Linked DNA regions of Saccharomyces cerevisiae S288C. The gene in region 1 interacts genetically with each later gene. Each region holds a gene or a part of one and is shown on either strand. Other genes may lie near its edges.

Region 1 (3,759 bases):
ATTGTTATTTCCATCACCATTATTGCTATTGTCATTATCATTATTATGATTACTTTGGTTGATTACAGCTTCACCCAAATCACTCAAGTCAACAGAAATTAAGTTATAAAACTTGGATGTCTCCGACAGGGGCCATACAGCAGTTAGTATAGTTACGGCGCCTTTAACATGGAAAATCCATGCCGTTGGTGAGCTGCTTGAAGCATTTGCCAATGAATCTAGGATTAATATTAGAGCACTAGCCACCAAAGCATCTGTGTTATCATCTGAAATTTCGAGCACAGCCTCTCTTAACAGTCTCAACGCTTCTAAACGATGACTAGACACGTAGTTATCCAAGCCGGCTTCAGTTCTGGACAAATGAGTGGCGCTAAAAGCCAAAATTGTATGCATCAAGAAGGGAAAATGAAAAGCCAAATCCGGAATATAAGTGCTCCATACTTCAGGACCAGAAATGCCTGCTTCGGTTATGGTATGCCATACGTCAGTACAATAGTGATGAAAAAGTTTTAGATCTATCAAATTCAAATTTGATTTTCTAGACAGCCCGACTAATTCAGGGACTAGTCGTGAGGCTGATGAAGCGTTTGAATGGGGAGAAGATTGTTGTTGAGTGTGAGAATTTGATGAACGTGGAGACAATGCCTCCGAGTTGGATAACAGGTCACCCATTGGGGACGTCTTCAAAGTAGGAGAATTTCCCAAAGCGGTCCTGTTGTCCGGTATAGATAACAATGACTTTGTAGAGGTTACATTGGATACTCCCGTTGAAGGGGACGCAATGTTTTGATCTATGGAAGGTTTGGACAACGTGTGTGGGGGACTGATTGTGAGACCGGTATTGTCGATTATCAAGTTTTTGTTATGAGATAGTATATCAGAAGCAGTAACTTTATTTTCGTTTCCGTTAAGGGGGTTATTGCCCGAATTAACAGCATCCGTCTTAGTATTATCCAATGGGTTCTTCGTAAATTGCTTGTTTTTGTCCTCCTGTTCCTGTTGCATATTTGCGAGTGCCTCCTCTGCTGTGCTAACTTTGATTGCTCTGTTATTAGATGTAGCAAACTTTCCGAGGCCAAATAACTCTTGAAACTCAGAGGCCATTCCATTTGCAGCACCGTATGGAAATAATGTATTGAAGCTCTTCATATTGAAGTTCAAGCCCATCTTGTTCAATTGCGCTAGCTGGTCGAAGGGAATATTGCTGAAGGGGGACTGTGTTCCTTGTTGTTGTGGAATTTGCTGATTTTGTTGTTGAAGTTGTGGCTGCTGCAATCCATTCGTCACCGAATTTAGCCTACCAGGCGAGAGTAAGCCGTTAAGGCTACTTGATAAATTCATGGCCGTTGATTGAAAACTAGGTGTTATCGGTATACTCAATGGCGAATTCCCTGGTAGGGCCATGTTTGGGTGGTTGTTGTTTATCATTGAACTGGGAGCTGTTTGTGTTATATTATTATGCGCTTCAGCTCCATTTGCACTGCTGTTGGTACTGTTACTGGTGTTATTCACTAAACTCGCTAATAGGTGCGGTAACAAAAGATTCTCCATATTATTGGATACGGATGGAGGAACGCTATTAGGGGAATTGCTTTGTTCATCAGTACCAACATGTGGCAACAGTTGCTGCTGTAACTGAACTTGCTGTTGTTGACGAAATTGCTGTTCTTGTTGATGATGAAGTTGCTGTTGTTGTTGTTGTAACATGATGGCATTGTCACTCAGATTTTTCTTGCCTACCCTATCGTGGACCGCTGATGCAAATTTTGACGACGAAGAATCTTTTCTTCTTCTTGGCTGAATAGGGCTGTAAACACAGTCCAATTTCATGTTTGTACATTTCTTGCAAAATGGTTTGCCTTCATCACATTTTACTCTTCTTCTTTTACAATTGTCGCAACCGGTCTTGGACTTGTTATGAAACTTCCGTTTCCCTGTCGAAGTCTTGCTCACTTTCTTGCCCCCAACCTCAATCAGTTCAGCATCCTTCTCTCTTTCTTGTCCAGCATTCCCATCATCGGATGTCATGTTATGTTAGATGGAGATCTATGGATAAACGAAATATAAACCTTAAATGAAAAAAACCGTCGACTTAACTCCTCTATATTATGTAAAGGCGAAATGTTATTTGTGCCTTTGAAAAGTGGAGGTCTTGGTTGCTTCTCCTTCGACGATAATCGATTTCGGTGACTAGTTAGTAGATGATGTAATCGTAGACGCAGGGAACCCTTGCTTTTCCCCAATCGTAACAAAAAAAAACAAGGGGAAATAAACTATTAGATAGTACGAGTTCGTTAAGTTAAAAAAAAGGCTATAAAAGTCGAAGAACGAATGATTACGACCAACATCTATTGTTCAAACTTGCCTTCGTTGAGTTTATCGAACGCGCTCGTTTAAATTTTTCCGACAAGAACGAGGAACGAGTCACCAATTACGTTTTCGGCTCTGTCGGTTGCAGGATCTGTAAAAGCGATATAGATACACACGTCAGCATGAAGCTCTTATGATTTGGCGAGTAGTGTTAGTACGTTAAATGCTACGACTCGGCATATACTGTGCTCGTTTTTATCAGTTTCATCCGAGGATTGTAGCCTTTTTTTTTCATTTGTTGATGTTTCTCTAGTATTTTCCGTCTTGTAGTGGTTTCGGGTATGTTGAACATAAACATTAAAAAAGACGATTAAATAAACTTGAGTTTGTACAAAGGAAAGCTGTAGTCATAGAGTATTTAGAAAAAAAAGCAGCCACAGTTTACATGAAGATGTGACCAATGAGGAGGCATCGGTTTGCCTTTGAATCTCAATCGCTTGAAAATTGAGTTCTTTTCGAATGATGACACCTCCGAGAAATGGCATTTCTATGCTAGCGCCACTCTACCCTTTCAAACGTCCGTACTCATATGAAGTTTCATCCTTCACGCAGCGATCTAAAAAGTTGTAAAAAAAAATACATTTAGGCCTAGCTATATATGCTACTATGTATCATTCAGTGAAATGGCTGAGGTTATATAAAATACTGGGAGGTCGTTTTTACGCTAAAGCAGACCTTGCGGATCTTTTCCTGTAGAATATATTTGTAGCATAAGTCCAATTTTACGGGCGCATTTTCAAAATCAAGGTGATATTGACATATTTTGAAGAGCACCCAATGGGCTAGCTGCAAGAACAAAGAGACCAGAAAGCCTAGAATTAAATGCCAGAAAAATGGAAATTTATTCTAGACAAAAATTGTTCGGCACCTCTACAGACGTTTAACGAACCTGGTCCGGCCTTTGAGGCGATCAAAAAAAGGCCCATTTTTGTGTTCCGCGTAATTGGTTTGCGCCTTTCCATGGAGCTTGGTGGGCGACATTCTCAAACTGGTTTCCTGATACATCATGCACGCCCGTAAAGGGTTTAAGTATTGATTGCTAGCCTGAATGTTTCATATGCATACCGTGTCTATGCAACGAATATATTTCAGAAAAAAGCACGAAAGCCAAATTTTTGATGTTAAGAGGTGTTTTTGCCCGTAAACGGAGAAGACGTGGTAGGACTCGCAAATGTCGCGTTTAGCGTTGAAGAACATGGAAGTATTGAACGTTTGGGGCTTGACGGCTCGACTTTTTTGCACTACTCCGCCTTGAACAGACGGATGATCCTGGCGCAAGAAACAAAGAGAATCAACTCTGAGCAAAGCGAAAAAATGAAATACAACGATAATAAAAGGATAGGAAGGTGTATATATAAGTTAATTTTAGATATAGATTAAGAAAAGATG
Region 2 (3,759 bases), on another chromosome or scaffold:
TACAGATTGAGAGTGCAGTAATATTCTGCGGACGCCAGTAAGTACTGTTTGAGGTTGTATTTTTATAGTAGAGGACACTTGAGACTGTGTAAAATGCGCTCACCAAAAAAAAGGGTCTGTTTGCGATCAACAAACAAATAATAAGATAAGTTAGGGAAAAGAAAGGTGAACACTGTTGCGGAATGCGTGGACTGCTTGTGTAAAAATGCTAGTAATGAGGGAAGTGTGGACTTGATATGGCCTGTTGTGGAAGCCTGAGAGTTCTTTCACGTGCTGTGTTCGGCCCGCCTATATAGGGACAAATTGTTAAAAAGATAAATAAATATAATCTGCCTCGGAAGGGGTTGGGAACGCCCGGCAGTAGCGATGAGGGTAACGGGACGATATTTAGAAGTGAATGCTGAAATAAATGGTGTGAAGGCCTCTTGTATGTCGTCTCATATAGGGCTAAAACGAAGCCATCGTGCACAATGGTAAGTTCATTCAGTGTTCCCATGCCAGTAAAACGGATATTTGACACATTTCCGTTACAAACATATGCTGCGCAGACTGACAAGGACGAGGCCGTTGCATTAGAAATACAGCGGAGGTCCTACACATTCACAGAACGCGGTGGTGGAAGCTCTGAGTTGACTGTGGAGGGGACGTACAAGCTAGGTGTTTACAACGTTTTTTTGGAGGCAAATACAGGGGCGGCATTGGCCACAGATCCATGGTGTCTGTTTGTTCAGCTTGCGCTGTGTCAAAAGAATGGTCTAGTCTTACCCACGCACTCGCAGGAACAAACCCCATCGCATACCTGTAACCATGAAATGCTCGTTCTGTCCCGTCTTTCTAACCCCGATGAGGCCCTACCTATTCTAGTTGAGGGTTACAAGAAGAGAATTATAAGATCCACCGTGGCAATCAGCGAAATTATGAGGTCTCGGATACTTGATGATGCTGAGCAGTTGATGTACTATACGTTGCTGGATACCGTGCTGTACGATTGTTGGATCACGCAAATAATTTTCTGTGCCTCAGATGCGCAATTCATGGAATTGTACTCTTGCCAGAAGTTAAGTGGTTCGATAGTCACTCCATTGGACGTAGAAAACTCTTTATTACAGAAGTTGTCCGCAAAGAGTTTGAAGATATCCCTAACAAAGCGGAACAAGTTCCAGTTCCGCCATCGAGAAATCGTCAAGAGTATGCAAGGAGTTTATCACAACCATCACAACTCCGTTAATCAAGAGCAGGTCTTGAACGTTTTGTTCGAGAATAGCAAGCAAGTTCTTTTAGGTTTAAAAGATATGTTGAAAAGCGACGGGCAACCCACTTACTTACATCTGAAAATTGCAAGTTACATTCTTTGTATAACGAACGTTAAGGAACCCATAAAGCTAAAGACATTTGTTGAAAACGAATGTAAAGAATTGGTCCAGTTTGCACAAGACACCCTGAAGAACTTCGTTCAGTAATCACTTTCAAGCTGTAGTATGTAAACGATATAGATGAAGTTTTCGTGTGTATAAATATATGAACTCTAGAGTGTTGCATAATTTGAAACACAGCATTTCTTTTCGGAGAGCTCGTTTCAAAATGAAACAAACGCCGTTGTCCGTTTTCGTCTCAATAGAAAAAGTGAAACAGATAAAAATTGTTTTAAAAGAAACGAATTTGCAACATCTTAAGATATATCAAAACTAATACAAAACAGCCTAAAAAAGATTGAACAACTCTTCGCGGTCAGGTCTCGACACCATAAATCGAAGTACTCGTACGCTAGTTTTCTCGCACATAGTACCACTACGTTCCTTTTACAATTAGATTACTTCTTTTTAGTTGACTTTTTTGAGACGTTCGTGCCATTCATAAAATAGGAAAAGATAACAGGTAAGCACTGAAGACTTGTTTTATAAGTGTCCCAAGCGAGACCTAGAGTGGATATTGATATTTCTCAAACAAGACTCGTCGAAGAAAACACACTTTTATAGCGGAACCGCTTTCTTTATTTGAATTGTCTTGTTCACCAAGGATGAAAGTCCAAATAACCAATAGTAGAACAGAGGAAATCTTAAAAGTTCAAGCTAATAATGAAAACGATGAAGTCAGTAAAGCTACTCCGGGCGAAGTTGAAGAATCGCTAAGGTTAATCGGCGATCTAAAATTCTTTTTAGCCACAGCGCCGGTAAATTGGCAAGAAAACCAAATTATAAGGCGATACTATCTGAATAGTGGACAAGGCTTTGTCTCTTGTGTATTTTGGAACAATCTATACTATATTACAGGTACTGATATTGTCAAATGTTGTCTTTACAGAATGCAAAAGTTTGGGAGAGAAGTAGTTCAAAAGAAAAAATTTGAAGAGGGTATTTTTTCAGATTTAAGAAATCTCAAATGTGGTATAGATGCAACTTTAGAACAACCAAAGTCCGAATTTTTGTCGTTTCTATTCAGAAATATGTGTCTGAAAACCCAAAAAAAGCAGAAAGTATTTTTTTGGTTCAGTGTAGCACATGATAAGTTGTTTGCGGATGCGTTGGAAAGAGATTTAAAAAGAGAAAGTTTGAATCAGCCTTCAACGACTAAGCCCGTTAATGAGCCCGCCTTATCTTTTTCATATGATTCCTCATCTGATAAGCCTCTCTACGATCAGTTACTTCAACATTTAGATTCTAGAAGACCATCTAGTACAACAAAATCAGATAATTCGCCTCCAAAATTAGAAAGCGAGAATTTTAAGGATAATGAGTTGGTAACAGTAACTAATCAGCCGCTTTTAGGCGTTGGCCTCATGGATGACGATGCGCCAGAATCCCCCTCTCAAATTAATGATTTTATTCCTCAGAAATTGATTATAGAACCCAATACTCTCGAATTGAATGGTCTCACAGAAGAAACGCCTCATGACTTACCCAAGAATACCGCTAAGGGCAGAGACGAAGAAGATTTTCCTCTCGACTATTTTCCTGTATCTGTTGAATACCCTACGGAGGAAAATGCGTTTGATCCGTTCCCTCCACAGGCTTTTACGCCAGCTGCCCCTTCCATGCCTATTTCCTATGATAACGTGAATGAAAGGGATTCTATGCCCGTTAATTCTCTTCTTAATAGATACCCCTATCAGTTATCAGTGGCACCCACTTTCCCAGTGCCACCATCATCATCGAGGCAACATTTTATGACAAATCGGGATTTTTATTCATCTAACAATAACAAGGAAAAATTGGTATCTCCTAGCGACCCTACCAGCTACATGAAGTATGACGAACCAGTTATGGATTTTGATGAATCTCGGCCAAATGAAAACTGTACAAATGCAAAATCTCACAACTCTGGCCAGCAAACTAAACAACACCAATTATATTCTAACAACTTCCAGCAATCTTACCCAAACGGAATGGTTCCAGGATACTACCCAAAAATGCCGTATAATCCCATGGGGGGGGATCCTCTACTCGATCAAGCCTTTTATGGCGCGGACGATTTTTTCTTTCCACCAGAAGGATGTGATAACAATATGCTGTATCCACAAACTGCAACTTCATGGAATGTTTTGCCCCCTCAAGCTATGCAACCAGCTCCAACCTATGTTGGGAGACCATACACACCGAATTATAGATCGACACCAGGTTCCGCGATGTTCCCATACATGCAAAGTTCAAATTCCATGCAGTGGAACACTGCTGTTTCACCTTATAGTTCGAGAGCACCATCTACAACTGCTAAAAACTATCCTCCTAGCACATTTTATTCTCAAAATATAAATCAATACCC

The links.
Region 2: of ECM22 (region 1) and STE12, changing one suppresses a phenotype caused by changing the other (phenotypic suppression), as found in Saccharomyces cerevisiae (one study listed by BioGRID).

What each region holds. Positions count from the first base shown.
Region 1 is NC_001144.5:600,436-604,194, forward strand, and holds the start of ECM22 (Ecm22p), read right to left. Parts: upstream 2,029-3,759; coding exon 1-2,028.
Region 2 is NC_001140.6:272,157-275,915, forward strand, and holds the start of STE12 (homeodomain family transcription factor STE12), read left to right. Parts: upstream 1-2,017; coding exon 2,018-3,759. Other genes in the region: SAM complex subunit SAM35, read left to right, coding at 471-1,460. UniProt on the Saccharomyces cerevisiae protein: Binds to the DNA sequence mediating pheromone induction (called the pheromone response element = PRE) which is found in the upstream control region of several a-, alpha- and haploid-specific genes.